Astyanax mexicanus: one gene and its partners. The protein of the gene in region 2 purifies or fractionates together with the protein of the main gene of each other region. This does not show direct contact. Links are inferred from orthologs where the notes say so. Each region holds a gene or a part of one and is shown on either strand. Other genes may lie near its edges.

Evidence for each region.
Region 1: the proteins of cops5 (region 2) and dcaf11 purify together in Homo sapiens (affinity purification with mass spectrometry; 6 studies listed by BioGRID and IntAct, with this or other methods). This does not show direct contact. The link is inferred for Astyanax mexicanus from reciprocal best matches to the Homo sapiens genes COPS5 and DCAF11.
Region 3: the proteins of cops5 (region 2) and cul5a purify together in Homo sapiens (affinity purification with western blotting; 6 studies listed by BioGRID and IntAct, with this or other methods). This does not show direct contact. The link is inferred for Astyanax mexicanus from reciprocal best matches to the Homo sapiens genes COPS5 and CUL5.
Region 4: the proteins of cops5 (region 2) and klhl15 purify together in Homo sapiens (affinity purification with mass spectrometry; 3 studies listed by BioGRID and IntAct, with this or other methods). This does not show direct contact. The link is inferred for Astyanax mexicanus from reciprocal best matches to the Homo sapiens genes COPS5 and KLHL15.

Annotation. Positions count from the first base shown.
Region 1 is NC_064408.1:89,574,060-89,581,464, forward strand, and holds the start of dcaf11 (DDB1- and CUL4-associated factor 11), read right to left. Parts: upstream 3,143-7,405; 5' UTR 2,950-3,142; intron 2,096-2,949; 5' UTR 2,085-2,095; coding exon 1,897-2,084; intron 819-1,896; coding exon 691-818; intron 540-690; coding exon 421-539; intron 226-420; coding exon 161-225; intron 1-160. Other genes in the region: ngdn (neuroguidin), read right to left, coding at 5,451-5,470, 5,608-5,662, 5,839-5,986, 6,247-6,421, 6,605-6,731, 6,824-6,876. UniProt on the Homo sapiens protein: May function as a substrate receptor for CUL4-DDB1 E3 ubiquitin-protein ligase complex.
Region 2 is NC_064408.1:97,567,977-97,575,520, forward strand, and holds the start of cops5 (COP9 signalosome complex subunit 5), read right to left. Parts: upstream 3,326-7,544; 5' UTR 3,078-3,325; coding exon 2,935-3,077; intron 2,325-2,934; coding exon 2,090-2,324; intron 1-2,089. UniProt on the Homo sapiens protein: Probable protease subunit of the COP9 signalosome complex (CSN), a complex involved in various cellular and developmental processes.
Region 3 is NC_064425.1:6,513,087-6,520,407, reverse strand, and holds the start of cul5a (cullin-5a), read right to left. Parts: upstream 3,241-7,321; 5' UTR 3,173-3,240; coding exon 3,149-3,172; intron 372-3,148; coding exon 262-371; intron 159-261; coding exon 59-158; intron 1-58. Other genes in the region: itgae.2 (integrin alpha-E), read right to left, coding at 5,759-5,812, 5,904-6,014, 6,989-7,072, 7,218-7,298. UniProt on the Homo sapiens protein: Core component of multiple cullin-5-RING E3 ubiquitin-protein ligase complexes (ECS complexes, also named CRL5 complexes), which mediate the ubiquitination and subsequent proteasomal degradation of target proteins.
Region 4 is NC_064408.1:92,115,555-92,123,269, forward strand, and holds the start of klhl15 (kelch-like protein 15), read right to left. Parts: upstream 3,261-7,715; 5' UTR 3,076-3,260; coding exon 3,015-3,075; intron 412-3,014; exon of another isoform or gene 307-411; intron 1-306. UniProt on the Homo sapiens protein: Substrate-specific adapter for CUL3 E3 ubiquitin-protein ligase complex.

The DNA of each region.
Region 1 (7,405 bases), about 8.0 Mb from region 2:
CAAATACAAATATTAAGTTACATTAACATCAACATTCTCATTCAATACATCTTATCTATGGTCTAATGGATGACTTGTGTTGAAGAGTTTCTAAAATGCAGCAATTGTGATGTATAATGAATAAATTGCAGGGATTGTGTGTATGTGTGTGTGTACTCACTGTGAGCGTATCCGACTGCACTCGCCATGAGAGAAACTGGATCCACGACACCGACCCTGCTCCCTCTGGAACACACACACACAGTCACTAGAACACTGATGTACAATAAACCTATTAAGGTCTATGTGTTTGCTGTTGTGTAAGCGAAGGTCAGTTCATGTTTCTATATGAGCTGTAATTCAGTTGTCAATGCTCAGAGATTATTCTTGAGTTTTGTTCAAATAAAAAAAAACAGTAACTATCATTTGATGGTCCTTCACCTGATTCAGCATGTGTGTAAAGCTGTGTTTCCCCTTCAGATTTGAGGAGGCAGTGGCCAGCAGGATCTGTGTTCGGATCTCACTGCGATCCACTTCCTGAGTATCCGGATGGGAGTCCACTAAAACAAAAAGACATGCAGTGTGTGTAATTAGGTGTAGCAGTGAGTAATAAGGATTGAGTATTGAAGGTGATTATTTCTTGGCTGCTGTTTCACATACATTTCCCTCTAGAAACCAATTAAATACATCAACCAATTTGTTTATATTTACCCGGAGGATCATAACGGTGTCCCAGACGTCCCTCCCAGGCTCCATCACTGTCCTCATCAGAGTCTGAGACAGACTGGACGAGCTGCAGTCCTGTTGCTCCACTCCCATGGACCAGTCTGACCTGGCCCCTACACCACAAGCAAACACACAGCACACATTACAACCCCTCCACAACACACAAACCAGCTTTTAAGACTTAAATTCCTCAAGCTTTGGTGGACTGACAAAGCAACAATCTTTCGGAGTGAACCACAGTGCATTTCTATAAAGTCTATATCAGTGGTTCTCATTATACTCTGGCAGAACACAGTAAATGAAAGTGGACCTATTTATCTCAATATCTCTGTTTAATCTCGACATGCATCAGCATGTTAATCATAAAAACAAGGTCATATTAAAAATCCCCTTCAGCATGAAAATGTCACTACACACACACACACACACACACACACACACACACACACACACACACACACACAAACACATATATATATATATATATATATATATATATATATATATATATATATATATATATATATGCATATTTGTATTACACACCTACATTACTACGGACTGTCTAGTAGGGCTGCAACTAATGATTATTTTGGTAGTGGACTAATCAGATGATAATTATTTCGATTAGTCGATTAATCAACGATTATTTGTGCCATGTTCTCCATCTCTAAAAAAACAGAAAACATGAGATTTAAAAGGCATTTAAATGTCCAGAAGTTGTTTAAACATGGAGAGTACTGACATTTAGTGATTAATAATGTAATCTGTTCTGTTGTAGTCGACAAATTTAAATAATCGACATTGTCGATTATAACGACTAATCGTTGCAGCTACTGTCTAGGACACAAATTGATTAAATAACTGTATACTGAATACCAAATCCTTTTTTTAATTGACAACATTAACATTTACATTAAAATTTTTTTTACTTAAAATAACAATAGCAAAAAAAATTCTTTAAAAAGAAAAAAAAATCATGGTATTAGTCATTATGAAATATTCCAAAACATTTAACTTAGAAAAGAAACTAGGAGAATTAGTAAACCTTATGAATGTGAATTTCAATAGAACACTGTATCGCTTGTTTCTCAATGAAGTATTTAAAGCACTTAAGAGTACTGAAATTATTACCAAACTGCATAGTAGTATAAATAATACAAAAATTATATTAACAGGTCTCCACTTCACCTTCTCAGTAGGTACGCCAGTACTTGTGCTAAATCAACGTCCTCCTCGGACGCTGATGCTCTGTCTGCCTGCCTCTCGGGCTGCCGGCGGCCTCTCTGGTTGGAATTCTGGTTAGATTCTGGTTCTGACTGGTCTGGGTTGCCGCTGGAGCCCCGACCGGACATCCCAGAACTGGACTGAGAGCCCATAGACCGAGCACCTGGGGAAATATGAAACAGAACACAATGATTTGAATTGACATATTATACCAGACATACTGTTTCCTATATCTGATATGATATGATACTAAAACCTGGAGTAAAACCTGTCAATACTGATCAGATGTGTCTTTCTTTAATAATTACTAAGCTTTATAATGGTTAGATATTTATATATGTATATAGCTCATTAACTACTATGTTTAAACTGTACTACCACATCCAATGGCCTTTATGTTCCTTTCATAACTTCCGTGACAGGATTCACAGGATTTTTCCTCTGGTGTGTAAAAAACAGTATAGTATTCACACTTAACACAAACAAAACATTCAATCCTCAAATACAGATAATCTATAGCTCTCTTTTCTTCCACCTGCATCTGCCAACACATCACAATAGCTAACTGAAGTTCGAGAAAGAAATGAGAGCAGGGTGGACTGGTTTAGACTATGATCAGCATTTCACACAGGCAGTGTCATGGGCAGACATACATACAATATGTTGACCCTGAACGTTGGCTTCTTATTGGAATCGTCTATTCCACCTTAAATGGCCCAGGAGTTACATTCTGGCGTTCAGAAGAACACAGCAGCCGTACCATTTAAGGTGGAAGGGACAGATCCAATAAGAAACCGGCGATTAAGGAACCAAGGACGAAAACATTCCCCACAGACTTAAACTGGACAGGACACAGGTCAGCTCACAGCCCACTGTCACACACCCCGCTAGTGACCTGTGTTTACAGCCCCCAGTTCACTGTTCACCGCTGTGACACAGTGTTTATATGCCCCCCTCCGCCGCCGCTGTCTTTATCTGTTTATAATGTGAGTGTTAGCCCCGTGCTAACGGGCCTACCGTCACTCTGCAGTCTCTCAGCTCTCCGCGTCCACTGTTACTCCCGGACACCTGCGGTACCGCTCCCTGTACTCATACAAACCCGACCCCCGGCTGACAGCTCGCTCCCCCGCTCCTCTAATCCGCTTTTATGAGCCCCTCTCTCTGCCTCAGACCCTCCATGTTGTTTATGAAGCGATGCGCGTTCACGACGATCACGTGACACGGTCGCGAACCCGAGAGCGAGATCCACAGACTAAAAAAACAAAACTGGAAAAAAAAAAAAAAACAGGGAAAATATATTAACAAAAACAATATCTTGTAAAATATATACAGTAAAACATACACTTAAATATACAGTAAAATATACATCTAAATATACAGTAAAATATACACTTACATGCACAGTAGAATATACACTTAAATATACAGTAAAATATACAACTAAATATACAGTAAAATACACACTTAAATATACACTATAATATACATGAAAATATCCAGATATTACATAAATAATATAAACTAATATATACACAAATACAGAGAATATTATAAAAAATGTTATACAGTAAAATATACAGATTTACAAAGAATATTAACAAAAATATTGTACACTAAAACATACAGATTTACAGAAAATATTAACAAAATTATATACAGTAAAATATACAGATTCACAGAGTATATTAACAGAAAAAATACACTAATACACACAATATTAACAAATATACACTGATATATACATAAATATAGAGATAAAATTAAAATAATAAATCTAAAGCTCTTGATATAAAAACACACATTTAAAGAGAATAATGACAAATATAGATAAAAATACATATGCAACTAATTTAGATTTTTAATCATGATATAAATAGTCTTGACAAAATATACATATTTACAGAAAATGTGCTAGCTAAAAAAATATTTAAAAGCTGTGAGCACTGACAAATTTTTACATAACCTTTTCTGATATTTTAATACTGTAAAGAGAAAGAAACATAATCTGGCATAAACATTAAAGCAATGTGAGTAATGTTATATGTGGGTATTGTTATTTATAGACATTTTGCCCAAACTTTTGATGCAGATTTTAGCAAAAAGGTTTTAGTTTTTTTTTTTTTACTATATTAATTTGTATAAACGTTTATTTCATAGATTTGTCCTTCTGTTTTCTTTACAGAACACAGATTCAATAATATGTGTAAAACTGGGTAAAAAATTAACCCAGTGGTGGCTTAGGGTAATCATATACAGTATTAGTGCAACTCTATTAACCCCAGTCTGAACACCTTAAAAACAATCATAAACAAATAAATATAAAAGAATGACCTTTTATAACTGGTAGATGATGGAATGGTGTGGAGATGGGGAATGTGGAGACTGTAGAACAGGCATTATTTTCGTACATATGCAACTTACTTGCACTTACATTTCTTTGAGTGATTTAAAAAAATATATATTTGCTGGTTAAAGGATAGATCAAAGAAATGAAGTGGCATGAGCCAGAGCAGGAACGTTCAATGTTTCTCGTGTTCTGTGTTAAAGAATTGCTTTTGCTCCAGCACACCTGGGTCTGATATTTTGTTGGATCTGAAAGCTCTCAACAGATAATTCAAGAGTGGCCAAAAAGAGTCTACAGCTGCGTTTGGAATCTATCCCTATAACAGAAATAGTGCACTCTGTAGTGTGTCAACTATTTTGAAGTGCTGTTTGATCTCAGTAGTACATTTAAACCCTCAGATTTTCCACTTGAGATAGTGACTATGTAGTAAGTGACCACCACAGAGCAGTTATTATTTAGGTGATTGGTTGTTAACAGCACTGCAGTGGCCCTGGGCTGTGCTGCTGGAGTTTTTAAACAGTGTTCATTCTCTGTCCTCCACTCTATTAGACACTCCTACCTACCTGCTCCACCTTTTAGATCAGAGACAGTAGCTCATCTGTTGCTGCAGTTTCTGTTGGTCTTCCTCTACGTTCCCACAGGACGCTGCTGGCTGAATATTTCTGGTTTGTGGACTATTCTGTCTAACAGTCACACTGCGGGGTTATTGTCCAGCAGCTCTTCTGCACCACCTCATCAGTGTTACTACAGGGCTGTGAATAACCGACCAGTGAAAGACTTGAATAACGTACCTAAAGTACTTTTGCTGAAGTAGCAAAAGGTCAGTTTAACATGGCTGTCTTGTACACATGAACCCCACTGTGGGTTTGCAGAGAAATATACTATGTTCAAGAACGTGCTAAAGCATTCAATTATGTGCTTAAACGTCAAATAACATTCTGCGTAATTCAGTAATTTGGTGCATATAAACACTGAAATGTCCAGAAATGTGATGTAACATTCAGTAAAATTCAGTGTAACATGCTGCAGTAATCACTGACACATTAAATACATTGCAGAAGGAAAAAAAATACAGAACTACATTCTGGTTTATTGTTTTTTTTATTTTGAAATCTTTAAAGAAATTGCAACCTCATCACACTGTCTTATTCTGGACGTTGAAAAAAAAAAAATCCTACTTGCGTTTCTTGAACACTGAAAAGTAAAAGTTCAACAAAAATTAATTGTCAGTTAAATCCATATCAATTATATTAAAAAAAGATATAATAACGACAGCAAATATCAAAGTTTGGGAAAAAAGTAAGTGCAATATTCATTAAATCCAGACTTACTTTTCTTTTTGTTTTTCTTCATAAGCTTCTTCTTCTTCTTTGGTCTTTCCACATCCTACAACATAAAAGAATAATTATTTACTATGATAATTTAGATTATTATTCATTAACAGACCTGCTCCATCTGAGCAGTTTTGAGAACATCACTGCTGTGTAGAGATTATGCTCTCATGATTTAAGAGTTTATGGTTTATTATGAGTGATTTTAATAATGTTTTTCAATGTGCTCACCGCTGTCTGCCTGCCAGTCAGTGCCGTGATGTCACTGAAGTGTGTGATGTTGCCCAGTTGTGAGGTCATTCCCACCATCCGCCTCTTTTTGGCCTTCTGTTCTCGGGTAAGACTTAGACGCACCATCATGGACTCCTCATAGTTCTTCCTAAAGAAAGACAAAGAACAGTGATCTGTAAACACTGAGGCCAGACATTGCAGGCATCATCACAGAAAAAAAAATCAACCAAGATGGGGTTACAGAGGAGCTGCTTCCCAGCAGGGAAAGAGAGAGTGCACAGCAAGTTATGTTATGCAAGGATTGTACCTCCAGCTTTATAGAGCCAACACAGACAGCTAATACAGTACAAAGTATATTAATCTGTTATTCATCTACAGTAACTCTATAATTCAGTATATTTTTCTTACCTGTGTCTGTCCTCTTGTATCTCACGATCAGTCTGGAAATCTTGGCGGTCCCGGATCTCCTCTGGAGCATCACTGTATTGTCGCCGGAGCTCCTGGATGACGGAGCTGCGCAGAGCCGCTTTCCTCTGCTTATCAGCAAAGTCTTTCTGCCGGTCCGACTCGGTCATATCCCCGCCTGCAGTTCAACAGACAAGACAATTTTACCAAAGTGTATGTGATCTGTTGAGCAGCACTCAAAGCCACAGTCTCACCACAGTGATGCTGATTAAATACTTCCATAAGAAACTGATTTGAATTTGAAAACATTATTTGGATTATTGGATTATTACTAAACCATTAACTGAATCATGCATTTTACCATAATGCATTGGGGCAATCTTGGGTGGTACGTATTTCCTGCCAAGTCCTGTTTTCTGATCATCTTTTTCATCTCCTGGTTCATGATCATCATCAACATCATCATCTGAGTCTTCAGCTTCGCTGAGCTGCATAAACATAAAAATACAATAACTAAATTTGGAATCCAAATGTCACATGACCAGGTACAGGCAATTAAAGGGATCTGAGTGGGTTTTACCTTACTGGCGAGATTCTCAGGATTTGGACGAAAGTGTAAAGGATCATTCGCGGCTGTAACAGAAGATACAACTCTAGTTAGGAGGCATATTCATATTCACTATTCTTTTGTGATACACAATGTATTCCTGCACACATCTGACTTGAAACATGATGAGATTTTTATTTAATCCACAAAAGTAGATGAAGAAAAAAACGGATTAATTAATGAAGCAAAAGGGATAACTTGCAAAGGTGAAGTGTGAGGTGACCACAGTGCAATTATAAGATCAAGGATAGGAACAAAGCAGATTATTCTAGTCTTATATATTCCATTTTAGGAACAATTAATTGAATTATTTGTGTTTAAAAATATGGGGTAGCAATTCTCACTCCTATGTTTCAAGAACATAAATCTCGGTATTCATGTTCTAAGAAGTGTTTAATGGCTTGAACAAAGGAAATTAGAGAAATCACGCCCCAATATCAAACATGTAAACCAGGAGTGTCCAATCTTATCCTCAAAGTATCAGTGTGGCTGCAAGTTTCGTTGGAAACCCATGGTTTAATGACTAACATACCAGTGCAGTCTCTCAGCCCTTTA
Region 2 (7,544 bases):
GTCATATCGCCAAGAGTATCGTTATCGCGATAATACCATGAAATATTGTGATATTATTTTAGGGCCATATCGCCCACCCCTAGTAGGTACATATTTCCATTGCAGGGATTCTTAGCAGTTTTCTGAGGCCTTCTAAGTATTTATATCGATATCGGAATTATATCGTATCGACCGAAATTAAGGAATATATCGTGATATGAATTTTGGCCATATCGTCCAGCACTAATTGTGCTGTACATGACACTCGCATTTCGTAAATAATATATTCTGTATTCATGATTACAGCAATATTTATTTTACTTTTAGCTCTTCTTAGACAGACTAGTACACATTTCATTAGACAATTATCTGAAGAAACTTTACTGCTTTCGTTGTTGTGCTTAATGCCCTATCAGCATCTAAAATTATATTAATATATTCAAGCAGAGTCTGCAGTATATATGGTCATCACATATGGGCATGACATAAATCCACATATAGTTTGCTGTTATTGTCTTTATGTAACTGTTGTAATTGTAGAAGAACAAAATCTAAAATAAAATCACTATCAGAGCACATTAATATATGGCTACAAACAGATCACAAATCCAAAATGCCAAATAAACTGTAGCAACTGATTAATAATAAGGAGTATGCATATGTACAGCTCATGAAATAAAAGGAATCCAAAGATTTTTCACTAAAGCAAATCAAACTTACACAATCCTCCCCTTACTTTAAACACACGTCATCAGGAAACACAACCTTAATGCCTGAACTAAATTCTTTAGTTTTGCACTGTATTTTGGTATATTTTTTTAGTGTAGGCATTTCATTAACGGATACATGTCAGTCACTGACACAGACTCAGAAACTCAAATTATTAAATAAATGATTGCATACAAGTGCCATATATATGGAGGAAATAATAAAAGCTTAATCTTAAATATCAGTTTTATCAATATGTCATAGGGTGTTACCCATCTCTGCACCTTATCACAACACACACAGCTGTGTCTTATGTCTGCTTTATTAATCAAGCTCATTGTTCTGATTCTATATTTTGCCCTTAGTGTATTCTGTATTGCATAGTTTTCTTACCATATTACACCACGGTACTACTGTGCACATTTACTCAGAGGAAATTACCATAAAAGCCTTTTGACTTGAGTTGACTAAAGATTAGGGCTAAGACTGGTCTAAAACCAAAAATATTTGGAGTTGATTTTTCAGCTTGACAGTGTGACAAGAAGAAAACCTATCTTTTGAAAATGTACTAAAATTACTATAATAAGGAACAGTTTTCCTGCACCTCAGTATAAGGACATGGTATGATCAAATAATAATAAAAAAAATTAAGACAAGATGAAGTCCTATCTCATAATATAATTCAAACAGGAATTGTATAAAAGGTGTAAGCAGACACCAAATCAGCATTTTCTATTTGAAAAAATTGTAGACACACCTTATCATCCACATTGTAAATTAAATATAATCAATATTAATAAATATAGGATATTTTTGTTTACTACATTCCTATTCCTTGTGTGTCCATTAATTTTTTTTTCATGTCTTTAATATTAATCTACGATGTAGAAAATAAAATCAGCAAATCAGAATTATATAAAACGTGTAAGATGACCCCAGATCAGCATGCTTTATTTTATATACTTGATATATATGAGAAATACAGTACCGGTCAAAAGTTTTATTACAGCCCCCCTCTCCCCCTTTATTTTTGCTATTTGGGTTTTTTAGGTCCAGTTAATAAATGGTACAAAATCAAATGTACAACGTTTTGCAGTAAACTGCCAAAACAAATACATTTTGATTTTAATAGGGTAAAAAAACACCTAAAAAATATGAGTATATGGTAAAAGCATATTATAAAAAAAAAATCCTATATTGTATAAAAAAGCACAGCCTCTTTAGCTCAGCTTAACATTGGACTCAGTTTCATCAGTGATGAGAGAAGAGTTAAAGGTCTGACAGGTGAAGTGCAGTAATAAAGTCATTGATAAGATGAGAAAATAAAAAGGCATGAAAAAGGGGTGTTCCAGACTTTAAGCTATACTCCGCTGTGAACTGTGGGGTGTAAAGCTTAACCTACCTGTTTAGCATTCTCTATGTAGGCAGCCATGTACTCATAGGCTGCAGCCTGAGCGTTGACCCGGGTCTCTGTACCCTCCACAGGCAGTGCGAAGCTGTCCATGATCATCATGGTCTCTCCATCCACCTTCCCCAGCATCAGTCCCATCACCTCCAGGTTCCCCCCAGAGCGGGCGTGCATCACCATCTTCAGAAGAGCCAGGGCTGAGATCTTACAGTACTTAAAGTAGTGGTGGCTGTAAACAAGAGCATAGCACACAATGATACATACACATCTCTCAATCACAGACAGAAAACACACAAAACACAGACCCAGACAGAAATCCAACACACAATCCCAAAACACAGACAGAAAAAAACACAAAGCAAAACCAGACAGAAAAAAACTAACAAAAAAAGACAGACAGAAAAAAACACAAAAACAAACACACAACTCCTAAAATACAGACAAAACACACAGACACAGAGAGAAAACACACAGACACAGACAGAAAACACACAGACACAGACAGACAACACACAGACACAGATAGAAAACACACAGACAGAAAACACACAGACACAGACAGAAAACACACAGACACAGACAGAAAACACACAGACACAGACAGAAAACACACAGACACAGACAGACAACACACAGCCAGACAACACACAGACAGACAACACACAGACAGACAACACACAGACAGAAAACACACAGACAGAAAACACAAAGACAGAAAACACAAAGACAGAAAACACACAGACAGAAAACACACAGACACAGATAGAAAACACACACAGACACAGACAGACAGCTAGTCATCACTGCGATATGTTATAAATCACGGGAGCGGGGCTCACTCTTTAGTCCATGGCTTGGCTGCGAGTATCTCCTGCTGTTGTTTTTTGTCGTATTTGTAGATCTCGTCGATGCTCTGAACTTCCTGAATGCTGTTGGACAGCTCCCAGGTCTTCTGGGCTATACTGCTGCTGCTGCCGGCCATAACTAACCTACAGCTAGCTCACCGAGCCTAGCACTGCCTACAGACAACCAGCCCACAGACCCTACAGACTACTGCCCTCAAAACTACAGACCAGGATCAGACGCAGGACCGCGGCGGAGCTCAGCTGCTCCTCAGGACACTGTTTTTACAATTATACACACTCCTGGATTCAGATTAGCCAGATTAGCTACTAGCTGCTGCTGCTGTTGTTGGGGCTTCTTCTACGGCAAATGGCCGTTGCGACCAGGGTTGCCAAAAGAGGCCTAAAAACTCCCCGTGTGTAAAGCGCGATCTTAGATCATTGTGACTTGAGGAACAGTGAAACATAAAAACTAATTTTAATTGGTATTTCTGGAACTAAAACTTATATGTACAAGAGGAAAACGTACATACATTAAAATAAATATTTGTCGTTGAACAAATGTAATACAAGTGTTGTATGCAGCAAAAATATACAAAAAGAGAACGGAAACCAACAAATAAAAAAAAAACAAATAAACACAAAATCCGTACATAAAACATATACGTATATAAATAATATTAATAATAATAACAACAACAACAACAACAACAATAATAATAATAATAATATACTATAATAGTAATTCGAATTTCACCACTGAAAATAGCCCATTTTACTTAATTTAGCGTATATGCATGTAGATAAATTTTAGCTTTCACTTTAATAAAAAAATTAGTTACATTCTGACTAAGTATTAAATGGAAATTTGTTCAATATAAGCAAGCCATTTTTAAAATGTTTTTTCCCAATATGGCAACCCGAGCACTTAACATGCGGGAACATGGCGCCATCAGCTGGCAAAGATCAGAAATGCACCACGTTGAAGAAAATAAACCGTCTTGTACAAATCATTTATCACGCGAATATCATTTATGACTGTCCTCACATATTACACGCTTAGTCTTTTTATTTTACTGACAATATATTATACATTTTAATTACTCCCACAATGCCCGAGCACTGCTTGATATGTAGATACCCACAATTTCAAAATAAAAGTCCTTCTGATACTTGATTAACCCTTTCAAAACGGAATTATCTTCAGTGATGAGAAAATGTAAGAATGCTGTTTTATGACTGTAATGCACAGAAAAGAAGACTCTAATATTCTATAATAAAATTAATATAAGCAAATAAATCAAATTAACTAAAATATTTACTATTTTTTATTTCCATTATTTCCAATATTTCATATTGACCTTTTTATTTCACAAACCACCCTAAACCGTAAAAAAGCATGATTAAAACGTGTTCTAAATCACATTAGTAAATATTAGCTGTTACTTTGCCTCATTGGCTGTAGTACTATTGTTTTTCCAGTGAAGTGGCCAAGTTACTGTTTTATTGGTTTATAAACTTGTTTATTGGTTTATTGGTTTATGGTCTGATGGAAAACAGCTCTCAAATACACGATGTCCATTGTAATGGATGCAAGGTCAGAAAGGGTTAAGAGGAACAGAATCTTAATAAATCTACTCACAAAATATAACAACCTAAGTGACACCAGTTTACTACACTTAGCAATGCATTAATTTACAGTTTTAATTCCCTGATTGCAGAGTTCTGGATTGATTTGGTTATGAAGAGCAGGCCTAATCTGTTTTGATCAAATAAAGATCTAGGCCCCATGTGCATCATACAACCCAAATGGAAGCTATTGTTTAACTATCCTGGACCCATTACATATGAGAATCCACATGGAACCTGTGAAAAATTTCCCAGTTAGGCTACCCACACAGCACCCACATGGGCATGTTATTTGGGACCAAAAACCACAAACACCTTTCTGTGGAGGTGTTAAGCTGTTGTTGTGGTCTGTTACTATTTCAGAGTGTTCAGCAGTGTAATATCACACTACTCTGCATCTTGTGAAAAAACACAGTGAGAATCTGCTCTGCAAACTGTGAGTCCAAAATAATGGGGGCCAATGTAGCTAAAAGGCTAAACACATACATTAAATATAATAATATTTATTTATATTTATTCCTTTAATTTGAAAAAGTATAACATTATTGTCAATTTGTCCAAAGCAAACAGGGTTCAGACAATAGATGTTTTTTTATGTTAATAAATAAGGACATATACAAAATAAGTCAGGGAAGATGAGGATACAGTGAAAAAACATACATTTCAGTAATGGAAGAAGTGGCAGTTATAGTATACTCAATACAATACTGTGTATACAGTACCAGTCAAAAGTTTGGACACACCTCTTTTCATACAATTTGTTTTTATTTTTTATTTTTAGGATTTCTTACATTGTAAATGTAATGATGAGTACATTAAAGCTATATACAGGAACACACATGGAATTATGTTTTTTACAAAAAGTGTTTAACAAACCAGAATATGTTTCATACATATTGGAATAGTGGAATAGTTTTCTCAACATCTTGAAGGAGGTTCTGAACAATAGTTGCTGTTTTTTCTTTACACTTTGAAACTCCAGCAAGACCAAACATTGACCAGAGATTAGAATTCTTTATTTGACAAACTTGATATATACAGTACCTGTCAACATTTTCTGCATGTTTAATACGTTTTCTTTTTTTTCATGATATATATATATTATATTGCAAATTTAATATAAATAATAAATATTCATAAATATAATATAGAATATTATTTGGACAATATATTGTGGGGGCCAGACTATTTTTGTTTACTCTGTAATTGCCTTTGTGCATCTAATTTGTTTCCATGTCTTTAACATTTATCTACAATGTAGAAAAAAAAAAAAAAAGGAAAAGCATTGAATGAGAAGGTGTGTCCAAACTTTTGACTGGTACTGTACATGAGAAAATGTATATAAATACAGCTTTGTTTTATTTTATTTATTTATTTTTTTAATTTATTGAGAATTGCCCGAGGACACAGCTACAAACAGGGTCTTATTTCTTATCGACAAGATCAGAAAGGTGTTTAAAACAAAAGAAAAAAAATAAATAAATTCCTTAATTTTGCAATTTTTTACTTTGTATATATTGAATTAAATATATGTAGGAGTAGAAGTTTTCTTTGAATAAGGAATTTGTATATTAATAAAGTGGCACAGAAGTGTAGAAATCTTGCTGTTTTAGTAAGAGTTTGCCATCTAGTGGTTTGATATTGAAACTGCTCCTGAGTAAAGGAGGTCTTTAACTAATATAACACATGCGATGGATGTGGGATTTTGCAGACAGGGTTAAATAAACACTTTACAGCATCTCAGAGATGTGTTGCAGCAATTTGTGCTTCGATAAAGTATCTGCACAAATAAAAAGGAAAGAAAATAGAAGTTTCAGGAGTCCAGCGGCTAAAGGTTAAGGTAAGCACTACATTACCCATGATCCTCTGTGTGACGTTTACGTTCAGAAGTCATTGAGGAAGTGCAGAAGCAAAATACTGGTTCCTTCAGTTCAGTCCACTTTACCGGTGAATTAACTGAGTGAATGTTTGAGCTGCAGCTCTGATATTAACCCTTAACCCTGAGTATGAGACTTCACGAACACTGGACCCGACTGAACTGACTGCAACAAGCATGAGACTCTTCCACGAGGCTTTAGAGGCATTAGAGAGGTAAGACTGACTGTATCAGCTCAGCTACCTGTTGTACAGGTTGTGTAGAGAGGACTGTTGTGTAATAATTAAACAGCGACACTGATTTATTCTTGCTGTACCTGGTAAAGAGTTATTTAGAATGATTAGTTAATTAGAATTAAACCTCCTAACTTCATGCATGTATGGTGATAAAAATGCTTAAAAAACAGTAAAGCAAACATTCATTCATTCTTTCATTCATTCAGCTGCTGTGAATTAACCCTCTGTGGTATGCCTTTTTAAATTTTATTTGGAGAAAAAAAAAACAAGCACTGCTTAAAAAGAGGTCTGACTGCATGTTTTCCTCAGGCCACAAATGAAAAAACACTATTTTAATAAGTAATTTAAAACCTCAATATACAGCTCTGAAAAAAATGAAACCACTTCGGTTTCTGAATCAGTTTCTCTGATTTTGCTATTTATAGGTATATGTTTGAGTAAAATGAACATTGTTGTTTTATTCTATAAACTACGGACAGCATTTCTCCCTAATTCCAAACGCAAATACTGTAATTTAGAGCATTTAATTGCAGAAAATGAGAAATGGCTGAAATAAAAAAAAAGATGCAGAGCAAAAGTTGCAAGATGCAAAAGTCCCTATTCATAAAGTTTTAAGAGTTCCCTGTTTTTTTATCTCAGTTTTCATGCATCTTGGCATGTCTTACACACTGCTTTTGGATCATTTTATGCCACTCCCATTTCTCTACCAGAGCTGTATTTCATTACATATTGATGCTCATACATATTTTATTAAGTAATGTTAAATATATTTGATTTAATTTAAACGTGTTATAACATCACATTAATCTTATCAGTTGCTGGGATTGCATCCCATGTGGCTTTGGTTGCTAAAAATATTACTCCAC
Region 3 (7,321 bases), on a different chromosome or scaffold from region 2:
GGCACAAGTTGAGGGTTCATAAGTGAAGCATGCATATGAACCCCAACATATTTCTTACCGCCTGGGCTTGCTTAATAAAATCTAAAATGTCCTCTTTAAGAGCCTGGTGGATCTTTGCAGGGCCTTTGTCATCCCACAAGCAGACTGCATGAACATCTCTGCAGCAGAAGAGAGTGTCAAATAAATTACACTGATGCTCTTAGTAGAAACAACAGGGCTAACATTCTCTATTATGTATATGAATGTCATCAACAGCCTTACGAGAAAAGATCGAACCACTGCTGTTTTGTTACGGACTCCTGACGAAGCAACTTGAGGACAATGGGGCGCATCAGGTCCCACTTGTCCTCAAACTGGAGGGACCCTTTGTTCTAAGGACAAAAAATAGAAAGATTACAGAGATGCCGAAAAACTGCTAAACCTACACCAATCAGCCATTGCTTTAGTCCCACTGACAGGTGAAGTTAAACCTTTTGATTAAAACTTAAATTACGCTTCAATTAAACAGTCAATTCTTGAAGTGATTAATAGTCATAAAATAGGAAAAACATCAGGATCTTTGGACCTTAGGACCACTCTAAAAAGATCAAAATGTTTATATTTTTAAAACTTGACATTTGACACAAAGAATCTCCAAAAACACCAGGTAGGTCTTAATGGTTTTTCTAGTACAAAGTAACCATTACACGAAACATCACAATTAAAGTAGCATAACAACTTTTTTTCTTAAGAAATGTATTCAGTACTGCTTCATTACTTGAATAGACCATTTGGGTAGTTAATTAAAAAACTAAGGTATAATTAAGTTTATGTTACTATTAGATGAGCATGGAATTTAGTCAAATAAAGTTGGGCCAGTTTTGGGCCAAAACATAACTGTTGTGCAAACATTTTACACAGTAGTATTTCTTTGGGCTCAGAGATCTAGTGAATGTTATGCCTTCTTCATATGTGGCTGGCACAGATGGACTAGTTTTGGCCCACAATACTTATCAACCAAGAACATAGCAGACATATGTAGCCTAATATAAAATGATCCGTGCAGAGACTCAAGAGAACATTGTACTAAAACACATTAATTGTTTAACATTAACATTTTAATATAACATTATATTCATTATGGCTTTTAGAAAAAATTGTGTGGTGGAGGGGAGGGTAGTGCACTATAGGACCCTGTGACGTGGCCTAAGCTTTGTCCTTAATGGCATTTTTTCCCCTTACATTTCACTTGAGATGATACTTCAACTTGTACAGAAGTATTTTAAACCCTAATATCTATACTTCTACCTACAGGGTAATGAATGTCAATACTTTTCACACACAAGACATGAACTTCCAGAGGAACTGTAACTTATTTTTTTGATTAGACACATTGGGAATGTAGTTAGCAAACTATGGAATAATGAGGTTTATGTTACAAGGTAATGGACAGCACAGCATCTAAGGACATGACAAGCATTATATGTGGCTGCCACAGCTGGATTGGTTTTGGTCCACAATATTTAACTAGCAATACCAAAAAATAAATTTTGTCTAGCTATCTGGTCTGTATTTGTGCCAGAATCGTCAGCTATCTGTATTTGACTAGACACCTTAAATAGTTAAAGCTAACCTGGCAAACACACCAGAGATATGTCAATAAGCTGTATGTCACAGCATTCAATGAGTGACAGCTGCCTACAGGTCATTGTAGCTGACAGCTAGCTAACTTAGCTAACTAACATGGAAAAATTATAATTATTATCTACGCAGTTATTTTCAACAACACATAGCTTTTACAAAGCTGATTATAGAAAAGAGATAGCAAATAAAAGAGAGAGATATAACTAGCCAGTTAACTAACCTGGAAGCCATTCGCTTGCTAACATATATACAGCTTTGGAAAAAAATAAGAGACCACTTAAAATGATATGTTTCTTTGATCATATATATATATAATCAACAGGAAGATGGACGATCACAAGCCATCAAATCAAGCTGAACTGCTTGAATTTTTGCAACAGGAGTGGCATGAAGTTATCAAAAAGCAGTGTGTAAGACTGGTGGAGGAGAACATGCCAAGATGCATGAAAACTGTGTTTAAAAAACAGGGTTATTCCACCAAATATTGATTTCTGAACTCTTAAAACTTTATGAATATGAACTTGTTTTCTTTGCATTATTTGAGGTCTTGTTATTTCAGCCATTTCTAATTTTCTGCAAATAAATGCTCTAAATGACAATGTTTTATTTGGGATTTGGGAGAAATGTTGTCCGTAGTTAATAGAATAAAACAACAATGTTCATTTTACTCAAACATATACATATCAATAGCAAAATCAAAGAAACTAATTCAGAAACTGATTTTGTCTTATTTATTCTCCAGAGCTGTATTTAGCTATCAAATCTATCTAACGTTAACTAATGACAGTTAGTTTACACCTAGCTAAGCTAACTTTTTACGGTTCTGTGAATGTAACGTTAGCTAGCCAGCTAACCTAGAAACGGCGTTATTAGCTAACCTAAAGCTATTGGTGCTCATTGACAGTTTATGATAGCTAGCTAGGTTAGTTAGCTAGCAAAAATAATGTTTATTATGAGCTTAATATACTTAAAACGAGCTGAAAATACTGTTAGTAACGCATGACTCCCGATTCGCTTGCTAGCTAAGGCGAAATTTCAGGTAAGCTAGCTAGGTTAAATGACTGCTAGCCGGTCACTGTCAGTAAGCAGGTATAGTTAGCTAAGCAAGCTAAGCTACCTAGCTAGCAAGCTAACTAAAATAAATTTGATTATGTTATTGTATTCATGCAGCTACATCGTAAGATAAACCCCTATAAAAACATAAAAAATCCCAAATAAAATTAACAACCTTACTGTGCTTTCTGCTAAAGCGAGCTGACCACCTACTAAGACAGTAATAGCCCCGGATAAACTAGCTAGTTAGCTTAGCATAGGCTAGCATAGCATAACATTATGTTCTGCTTTAGCCTGACTAGCAAAAACAAGCTAGCCTATAAAGTGGTCCTGCAAGAAGCCGCCCAAGCACAGTGTCACGTTTATCAGCCCAAAAGCATTTATTAAATCGCTGCGTTGAAAGCTGAATCCGCGCACACAGCCGCAGCACACTGAGTGCAGTTTGAGTGCATTGAGCTGTAGTGTCTCTTACCTTTAACAGATTAGACATCGCCATGTTTCCTTAACTTACTCTCCCCCGTTTGATCTCGCGAGTCTTGGCTTGGCATAAGAATGGAGGAGATCTCTGGACAGGGATTAGATAGGGGCAGGTAGGTAGGCCAGCAAGAGGCTGGAGGACTGTGTCAAAATGTAAATTTTAAACAGAAGTGTTTTAAAACAATAGAAGACCACAGCTGAGAAGTGTACACACTTATTACTTAGATCTGGATCTGGGGGCAGCAGAGCAGCATAACAGTGATTCTAAACTTCTGAGTTCAATAACTGACTCAAGAACTCAGGGCACTGTATATATATAACGTTACAACTCTGGAAAAAAAATAAGAGACCACTTCAAAATGTCCAGTTTCTCTTTTATTCTATAAACCACTGACAACATTTCTCCCACAAATACAAATATTGTCAATTCTAGCATGTATTTACTTACATACTACTCACAAACTTACATACTACTCAGTGTAGCTGTAATGCTTACCGTGTGCAATATCCATCTCACTACAAGTACTGTGATCCCCTTATCACCATTTGTGCAATATGTTTAACGTGCAATATTTTTCTCATCTTTTTATCTACTATTTATTTGATATTTATTCACTGTTGCGCTTTGTGCAATAATACTGATCCACCCTATCATAATCATATCTCTATGCACTAGATGTATATATTCTTTCTTACTATATATAATTTTTAAGTGTCTTTTATATATTGTCTGTAATAGTTTTTTGTATATATAGATTTATCATTATTTGTTTATACTTTTTTCCTGACCTGTTTCTCTGTCCTTTCCTCTGTGCTGCTGTAACATTGTACATTTACCCATTGTAGGATTAATAAAGGATTATCTTATCTTATCTTATTTGCAGAACGTAAATGGTCAAAATAATGAAAAAGGGTACAATGCTTTAAAATCTTAAATAATGCAAAAAAAAAAAAAAAAAAAAAACAATTTCATAGTCATATAAAAACAACAATGCTCTCCACAAGTCTTTCACGCTGCTTTTGGGCAACCTTATTCCACTCCTGGCACAAAAGCAGTTTAGCTCTGTTTGGACTGTGAAGTTTGGTGGAAGATGGTGATGATCTAGAAATGCTTTAGCATGGCTGAGATTGGGCAGTTTGGTCTTTGCGAATGAAGCATGAATCAAGCCGCATACAAGGTTAGAATATCATTGAAATTGGCAATTGGTAATCTTGTCAGTGTGCCAGGTCCTGCTGGAAAATGAAATCTATCAAGGCTCCATAAAAGTTGTCAGCAGAGGGAAGCATGGGATGTAAGATTATGCGGGAAATGGGACTTTGGACTTTATATAAGTGGACCAACACCAGCAGATGACATGTCTCTCTAAACCAACACTGACCATCATTTGTAAATCAAGGGAGCAGAGTCTGGAGGAAGAGTGGAGAGACACAAAGTCCAAACTGCTTGAGGTCTAGTGTGAAGTTTCCACCAATCAGTTATGGTTTGTAGAGGTATGCAATTTTCTGAGACACTGATTTTCATTGGCTGTAAGCCATAATCATCAACAATAAAATAAATAAACGGTTAAAATAGACCACTCTGTGTGTAATACATACATAATGACTTTTTAACTTTATTTATAAGTTGTTTGACCAGAGGAGGATAGGTCCCCTTTACATATTAGCCTTGATAGTACATGTGACAGTACCTATGATATAGTACAAGGTACATGTGATGAGCCTTGGTTCCTCCCCAGGTTTCTTCCTCCTCTAACTCTGAGGGCGTTTTTCCTTGCCTCCGTTCTGTGTTGTATGTTCAATATTTTGTCTGATTCTCTGCACTGCTACCACATTTCTCTAAAGCTGCTTTCCGACAACATCAGTTGTAAAAAGTGCTATATAAATAAATTGGAGTTATATATACATACACATAAATACACATATACACATAAAAAGTCTAAATGATTGTGCAAGACACTTTTTATGCATTTATTTATTTGCAAATTTGCATGTTTTTTCTATGTATTTCCAGAAATTAAATAAATAAAAAATATGAATGCATAAAAAAAATACATAAAGAAACTGTAAAGGAGTATGTATAGTAACAAAGTAGTACTCTTTTACTTTAATACATAATTCGATATGTTTAATACGGGTTTGATAAAAATCACTGAGTGAATCAAGTGATTAAGCTGTCATATAAGAAGACATGTTGCTCCCGTTCTGCCTTTCACACTGCTGCCTCCCTACTTTTGACTGCTTTCAATAATATCTATATCAATATCTATATCAATACTGTACTTGTACTTTCAGTACTTAAGTAGTACAATAAAGTACTTGCAGTACTTAAGTACACAGAGTTTTGTCTTTTCAGGTCTCATCTTATTTGATAGATAGAAAAAATAATATTCAAATTTTATTAAAAGATTCAATTTTAAAATTTTACACTTCAGTCTATAAATATAAAATATGAGAAAATAAAAAATGAAACAAATGAATGACATTTAGTTTAGGCTGCTTCTAAAAACATAACATAAAGAGGTGACTAGTGATACAATATATAAAAAGTCACAATATTTAAAATATAATAACAATCTGGTATAGTCATGCTGACAATTGACAGCTCTCAGTGTGTGCTCTGTGTACGCTCCATATGATGCCGTCGACGGAAGAAGCCACACTGCAGGGAAAAGCAAACAAATGTGTTAACACATTTACTTTATTTTTTTTAATACAGCTTGAGCAGTAAAATAAAAGCCTTTTGTTTTTACCTTTATAAGAACAATGATGATGATGATTAACAGCAGAAACCCCCCAACGGAGCCACCTGCAATTACTGCAGTTGATTTCACAATCTTCTGCTTGATAACTACCACTTCCACCTGCATTCAGAGTAAAAACATATACAGTACTGAAACAGTTAGTTGCACGTGGGCCAAAAAGATCATAATTTGATTGTTTGGATATACAGTACTGTGAAGAATACACGCAAAAATAATTATTTAAATAGGCAGTGTTTATTTTCACAAACAGAGTTTCTCTGAAGTTACAGAAAAGCCAGCCAGCAAACTTTGGTTCTTATAACTTAGTTTTTAACTCTACTGAACAGCATATTCTGAATATTTACTATTATTCACTATTATTCTATTTTCTATTATGTATTACTATACTATTTTTACATAAGCATTTGAAACATTAAAGCAGCAGTCCCTAAGATTTTCTATTATAAACGGAAAGCAGCGGTATTCCTGAGTTGGGAGGTGATAAAATATTCTATATAATTGTATCAGTGTCCTAGCACGACCATCCCTGCAGCGTCTAATATTATTCTAAAAACAGAGTGGTCTGGTAGGTTTTAAAAGTACTCTTCCACATGCTTGATGCAGTTACACATTCTCACCAGAGAGGTCTCTAAATCCCTAAATTCTCTAAAGTACAGACTGTTGCTTTAGTCTTGTTTTATAAAGGTGATTACAATTAAAAATTTTAAATGTATTCCTTAAGGTAAAAAATCTTTACTTACTGTCAAAAACATATAGGAAAAGGCAAAATAAGGATTTTATTTTGTCCTGAAATTCCAGTTGTGAGGGGCAGAATTTAACAAACTAAAACTGGAAAATGGATGAACACTTATGTCTTGTACACTTTGTATACTGCACTACATAAAAAATAGTTTTTACATCCAATTTTCTAATTTTGCTTTTAGTCTCAAACAGTCAGAAAATTACACAGCTAAGTATTACACTGACCAAAAAAAACCCCAATTACAATTGCATTAAATAACTGTTGTAAACTATTTTTTGGTCTATTTAGGACTTTTCCACATCACTGTACTGTACTGTTAACTTTCCCCCACCTTTTCCATCTTCCTCATGTCTTGTCCTTCGTAGATGCTCTCATTAAAGCTGAGTTCTGCTTTGGCAGTGATCCTCTCAGTAATCTGTTCAAGTTTGAAAGATATGATCTCAGACAGAGGCAAACTTCTTTTCTATGGATTGACTAAAAAACAGCACTTACACATTTTTAATTAAACAATCAGAAGAAAGTTATTATAATAATAACATCAAATACACTATATTAATTACCTTAATGTCATTAATAATGACATCAGTGTTGATGGTAATGTCTTGCAATTCAGTCAGAATGCATTCTACACGAAGGTTGCTCTGGAAAACACAGCAAACAAAAT
Region 4 (7,715 bases), about 5.5 Mb from region 2:
TTTCAAGAATGCACTGGGCTTATTCAGTATTCTGAAGATTCTTTCATGAGGACCCAATTGGTGTCATGGTTTGCACAGTTGAACAAGGCGCTCTGCACCACAGACTGGCAAAAAAAAAAAGCATGTCAAACATGGGGTTTTGTTTTGTTTCTAGAAATCCTACAAACAGCTCTCTCTAAAATAGTTCTTGATCTTCCAGACCTCAACTTCAACTCACCGCCACAAAGCCTGTTAATTATGATTAAAAGACTATCTAAAGAAACCACTACCTGAAAACTCTTCTTATGGCATTCTAATATTACGTACATTTTCAGAATGCTGGACAGCTGCTTAGAGGAGTCCATGGCTGCTGATTGTTGGGACAAGGTCTGAGGAATTGGGAGAAAGCTTAGATATTTGTATCCCTCAGTCCTATAAATGAGGGGGAGACAGGAATCAGGCCTAGTCTTGAACTACACTGCATTTAAAATATAGATTTTCAATTGAAAAGAAAATATAGTTTATAACTAGACGTAATCCTGTCCGGGAAACTGACAGTGTAATAGTATAAAATGTTTTTAAAACTACCAATTTTGTCCTTGAGTACTGTATTTTTGCGACTATGAGCATTCCTTTTTTTACTATAAAAATAAAATACAATATAATTTATCACAAAAACAATTATCATCATGCCCTTTTATATGATGACACTAAATACAGCATTTATAATCATAAGAACTTAAATATGAATTAAATAGGGTTCTACAATAGTGTACTACTGTAATGTCAAAGAATCCCCCCCTTCCTTGTGTCTAAGTGCATAAATAACAAGGGATTAAGGCATAACTACCACAATCAGATCAGCACCAATGTGCCACACACTCACAAAGCATCAAGGAAGCAAAGAATCTCATAACTCTTAAACCCAGACTTTATAAGAACTCTTCCTCTTGTGGAAAAGGCCAACATACCGAGGTCAACTTTAAGCTTACTCAGTCTGTGCAGTACATAGTCACTTTCCTGTGCCCAATGTACTGAGATTAAGCACATGTGGACCCACACTTAATTGTAACCCCATACTATAGTGGAAACAGGCTTCGAATTAGTCTATACAGACTATACTAAAACCTAACACAGACAGGGTTAAACACCTGAAAGCTTATAGATGTTTCTAAGTGCACTGACCAAACCCAGATCCACACTTTATAAGCTAGCTAGCTTACAAATATAACTGACAGCTGATAAAGTTCATGTACACTGTACTGAATCAAGCAAATGCAGATATGCAGTCCATCAACGGCCCACTGCACTTTAACCTCTTGAAATAATGATCAGCACTAGACTTTACACCATTATACTGAAACACTAACAATTGTGCTTTTTACAGTAATTATAAACACCTAAATTACCAAATATATGATATGATAATCACCTGCAGCTTCTACCATAGCACAAAAAGTAAGGACATTAGTGTTTGCTAGATTATTTATTTATTGTACCAGTGCTTCTTGGAAATATATCTTATACATTTGGAAAGCCTGTTAACTTCCCTTTTAGGCGTTCCACACTTGTAAGAAACATGCATTTGTTGAATGAGCAGCAGAGTTGAGCATGTGGGATGCATCCATAAAATGCAGATCTTCTTGGGGTGTTCTCTTGTGGGGATGCCCACTTGGCGGTCCCTCTCTAACATCCCCATTATATGGAACTTGGCCTTCAGTTTGGAGATATTGGTACTAGGGCTCACTACAAATTCCAAATAAAACCACACCTTGTTTTTTGCAGAACACCAGCTTGAAGTAGCCTTGCCACATGAACCCTATCCAGATCAGTTAAATGATGCCATGACATGTGACATGATGCCGATTCTTGGAGCAGACACCTACTGGTCACTGTAGCAGAGTCCATGCTCACCTGGCTACTTATTGGCAGCACCTGGGGGTACCAGAAGCTTAAAACAAGTGTCAACAGCAAAATAAGCTGTCTGACCATGGCAGAGAAGATTTGGCAACTTTATTATGGGTGCCACAAACATGCTCTCCCCTACTGCTCATCCCACAGATGCATGTTTCTTACAAATGTGATTTAATGTGACCATTTACAAGAAAAAAATGAACAGGTTTTCCAAAGGTATTATATTTATAGCCAATAATCATTGTTAAAACAAAGAAATGCCAAATCTACCAAATCATTGCTATAAAACTGAATATATAAGACTTAGGTGAATGTATAAAGCCTTTTTAAAAATCATTTAAAAGATGTCTGACCAATGGTAGACATCATGTCTGACCCCCCCTGTATATAGTCTTGGTCCTTCCAAGGTTTCTTCCTTCTCCAGGTTCTTTATTCTGTATTTTTTATGTTTAATGTTTCACCTGATTCTCTGAACTGTGATCACATTTCTGTAAAGCGCTATACAAATAAATTTGATTTGATTGTTTTTACTCTTTGTGCTATGTTTATAACAAAAAGGTCCAGTAAAGTGGCTTAGCGTGAGTCTACTATGCACATTATAGTGAAATTAAAATAACAGACAAGGCTAAACATCTGAAAGTACCAAAACATTGTATTAATGTATTGAGTCTTTAGCTTTTTTGCCTGAAATCAAACCTATGGGGCTACAGAAATAGGTTACTGTCTTATAACCTCTTCATCAAGGGCCCATTTCACTGTAACCTCTCAGAGCAAAGGTCAACACCAGGCTTCATTAAGCTTTTTTTCTGAAATGTTGAACAGGCAGGTTAAATGAACACACACATGGTTATAAACACAGAATCAGTCCATCTCCTGCCCCTCACTCTGCTAGTTCAGCTATAGCCATCACCCCCCTACACTGTAATATAGAAGGGTCCAGTGAGCATGCTTAGCCACTCTTTAAACACATTATACTAGAGCTCGGAGCCCCGGGGCTCGGGCTGAGCTCTTCCACCGGGCTGCAGGGAGCGGGCTGGCCCCGCTGAGCGGCCCGCCGCTGCCCTGCTGCTCCTGAATCTCTGTGTTTTTTGTGGGGATGTGTGTAAAGAGTCCGGCTTTACCTCGGCGGTGGGACTCCGCGCAGCCCCGCTTCGACCACGCAGCCCGGGGTCCCTCCGACATGGAGCGGCGCGCTGCCTCACACCGGCTCCGCCCGAACCCTCATCGCCCCCGGTCACCCTTCAGCCCGCCCGCGCCTCTAAATCAGCCCGCTCTCCGACCGGATTCCAACATTGTGTTTTCCTGCAGCCCTCACAGCCATTCCAGACGCCATGTTATGGTCTGCACTGACGTAATTTCCGGCAGCAGAAGCGGTCGGGCGGAACTGTAGGCGGTGAAGGGGGTGCAATATTTAGCAGCTCAAACTTTAGACTTTAGACGCCGAAATAAGCAGCTTACAAAACCGGGAATATGTGCCACTGGTTGTGTGGTCTGTTTGAAAGATGATAGGCCACAGTCTGACAGGACCCAGCACGTTTTTGCTTTTTTTGCTCTGTACCTGAAGGGCCCAGTAAACACTTACCAGAGCTCCCGACTAACTTTCCTCAACCGTCCCAGAAATCGTCCCAGAGCTTTTAGCCACCCCAAAATGAAAATCGTATTTCTATTTTTTTTCCCCATTTTCTCTCCAATTTACATGGCCAATTACCCAACCCACTCATTAGGACTCCCCCAATCACTAGTCATGCCCCAACACCAGGAGGGTGAAGACTAGCACATGTCTCCTCTGATACATGTGAAGTCAGTCACCACCTCTTTTTGATCTGATGCTGATGCAGCATTGCCGAGTAGTCAGTGCGCTCGGAGGAAAGCGCACAAACTCGGTTCTGATACATCAGCTCACAGATGCTTGTGTTGATCGACATCACCCTTTGGAGTGATGGGGGAGAGAGTGCCATCTACCCACACAGAGAGAGCAAGGCCTATTGTGCTCTCTCAGGGCTACATGGGCAGGATTCGATCCGGTGCCTTAGTCCACTGGGCCACTATTACAGTTGTATTTATTTGTGTACTTAACTACTGCCATAATTTCACCAATTGTTTTTCCTCAAGTGTCTCATCCATTCCTCTACTGCTGCACCATTTGTAGCTGCCAAGTGTTTTGCTTACCTCCAGCTCCAGCTTTACCCAACAGTTTTGTTTTTTTGCACGCAAGTCACATGCATGGTGTGTCCTGTTTGTTTCAATTTATATGCAAAAAAATTCCCTTTTTGCACCATTTCAAGTGCCTCATCCATTTTTAGTCGCCAGTAGTTGCCAACTGCTGCACTGATTGTAGCCACAAATGCATACCTCCAGCTCATTATGTAATGGAAGGAGAATCACATTTCCCAATCCATGATACTTGGACCAAAAAGCAGATTTCAGGTCATGTAGCCCAGTAAATTTCATAAAAGAACAGTGTGGTACCATGAAAGCAGTTAATAAGGACCACAACTGGGCTGCAGTTATCTCCTTTATAATCAGCTTGGAAGCTGTTTACAGTTATTATTACAGATTATCCAGGAGTGTTGAAGCTTGCATGTGCCTCCTTTAATACACCAATTGAGCTTGTAACAGTTAACTGCTGTGGATTAATTATTTTGTCTTTAAATTCACTTGCATGGTGGGACATTTTTTTATTAAATAAGAGATTAAAGCTTAAAGAGGGAGAAAAATAGACTGCTTTGGCAATCAGTTTCATTTAATTCCAACGCTTGTTTTAACATCTAAATAAAATCAAAATTGTAATGCATTTCCTCATTGTGTGTAAATTGAATACTAGTAGCTGTGGGACCTTAAAAAATATGTATATATACACACCTCCATGTTTGTGTTGTTGTCCATGTGCTCTCAGCTAGCCCTAAATGTCCCAGCTACCCCGGAGCATGTGCTCCCAACTCCTGGTAAAAAGTGTTAAAGGCTCAATAAGATGGGAGGAGAATGTTAACTTCTAATTCTCAGCAAACAGATGCCCACACTGCCTAACGTCAGGCATAGGGAGGTACATCCTACTCACTCAGTTAGATTGAGCCCAGCATTACAGTTCATCCCTAAGGTGTTCAGGTGTTCCTTCACATCAAACTTTTCAAAACAAGAAGTTAGCTTTGGGCACAGTGCAACTGCAAAGTTTAAAGCATTGTGTAAAATGTATTTGTTTGTAGTAGCTGTAACATCACCCATCATTGGAACTAAGGGCACAAAAACAGACCCAGGCCATCATCCCAGATCCTCCAAGCTGTAATGTAAGCACTATGCAGTCCAGTATGTAGCGTCGTCCTGGAATCCACCATGACCAGATTTATCCATCAGGCTGCCAGATAGTGAAGAGTGATTCATCACTCCAGAGAGCACATTTCTACTGAGTCCTATTTAACAGTCAATTTGTCATCCCGTCCACATTTCCAAAGAAATAGGCTAAACAGTGTAACAAAACAACATTCCTCTAGGGACTTGGCATGACAGAAAAAGACAAGATAAAACATTTTGTTTGTTGCCAGGGTCACAAAATAATGTAACACACACTCAGTGCAACATATTTGTCTTAACATTTGGAACAGATAAAATACTATATTAGTAAAAATCCATAAGTCCACAAGTTTTACAATTTAGTTTAAAATAAATTGTGGCAAACTTTTGCATTTACAGTCAAAAGTAGGTCAATGGAACAACGTATGCTATTCTGATATTCAATAAACTTTGAATTCAACTCAATCTTACTCACATTTATACGAGTTTTAAAACAGTATTAAAAGTGTCACATAAAGGAAAACTATATTTATATTGGCATAGTTGATTAATGGGAATTTAGTACATGAAACTGACATACCCCAAACTTTAAACATTCTTTTGTCCTCCTTCAAATGCTTTGTAACAGTCTAAACTCTAGGTGGTTGCTATGGTGTTGCTAGGTGGTTCCCTTGGAACACCAGGTGGTTGCTATGCTATTGCTAAGTTGTTGTTTTTACTTGTAGCTGTTCTGGTTATACAGTTGCTATGGTGTTGCTAGGTGGTTGCTGTGGTATCCCACGTGATTGCTATGGTATTTATAGGTAGTTGTTAACTGATTGCTATGGAATGTCAGGTGATTTGTATGGTTTTGCTAAGTGGTTACTATAGTACCCCAGGTAGTTACTAGTCTCACTATGGTTTTTCTTGTTGGTTGCTATTGTTGTTGTCATAATTATGGACAAATATTTATTCTGATTTGTTGATTCTGTGTAAGATTCTAGTCTAGATTCACAGTAAACCAAGAGTTCATGAAATTATTTATGATCCCACCATAAAATTTAAAATATCAGAAAAAAATGAATGCATGTTATAACTATTAAGATAGTCATGGCCCAAATCTGGCTTACATGTGTAGTTTTATTAGACCCATAGACATCCTGCCCTAGACTTAATTCTGATTCTAGAATTCTAGAACACAGACTCAATGTCCCTTTGTCGTCAACGTTGCATAAAGGCTAAGTGCAAATTGAAATGCAAGAAAATGTGCATGAATTTATCCGTGTCTGATTCATGACACTTTAAAACAAGCAGTGATTTAAACACAGATGATGAGTCAGCTTCTTTCCAGGCATGGAAACAAGCACCCTGCACCAATTCTTCATTAACATAACATTTGCAAATTGGATGCCCCAATTTGCCCTCATACACATACAATTTACATTAAACATCCTGACCTCATATAAAGTTAATGTATTTGTGTTGTGAGCCAGCATTAACAGATGGGGTGTATTATTTAATGTGATATTATTTGGTTAGCCTAAAGGTATTTAATTTCAGTTGAAATACACAAAGCAAAGACATACAAAGACATATAGCTAAAGTACAAAGTTGTAGATATAGTGGCAAGATTATAACACTTAATAAAATCACAGAAAGTATAATTATGTGATGATATCCCTGAAACTTACTCAGATATGGCAGTTGGCATTTTTTGGAAAATGAAACTCTAATCATAAAGTAGTCTTTTTAACAAAGAAAATTTTAAATGAGGGTTACTCTGTCATGTCACTGTAACTATATATTTTTTTAAATGGGAGTGAAATGATACATGAAACTGACATACCCTGAACCTTAACTATTATTTTGTCCTCCTTCAAATGCTTTGTAACAGTCTAATCTGATTAATAAAGTGATATTACAGATATAAAAGTAGGCCTTCTTTACTGTGAATTTGCTACATTTTGCTGTTACAAATATGACTCTAATATACTTTAATTGCTATAATTTGCTGTACAAACCTTTTGAATTAATTAGTTAATTCATTCATTTTTTTTTTTTGCATAGAGAAAAAGAGGGGGCGAAATAAAGGACTACAACTGCACCGAGTCGAAAACTACAAAACTGATGACGCATTTTACAGTAGACGGACCCCTTGTCGCTATCGGCTTCATCTTCAACGTGTTTCAGAAATCGCACAGGTAAAGTGTAGCGGTCTGTGGTCGCTGTGTGCCGGTGATTCGGTGTCTTTTCAGGGTTCGTGTGTGTACGGACGGGGCAGGTGATCGTGCTGGGTGAGAAGGTTTTTGGGGTTAATTCTGGGGAAACACATGGTTCCTCCTCCTCCTCGCTGTATTGCATCATCCACGCCTGAGTTCAGGACCCGGGGGTGGTTGAATCGCTCGTGTTTCAGTGGGTTCTGTGTTTGTATGTGTAGTGAATTTAGAGAGTGTATTTTTTGTTGTGTAGTAGAGGATTAGCGGGTGTGAGTGTGTATGAAATGTGTTTTATTGTGTGGTGAAACAGTCAGGCGGCGCTCGGTCACGTTCTCGTTT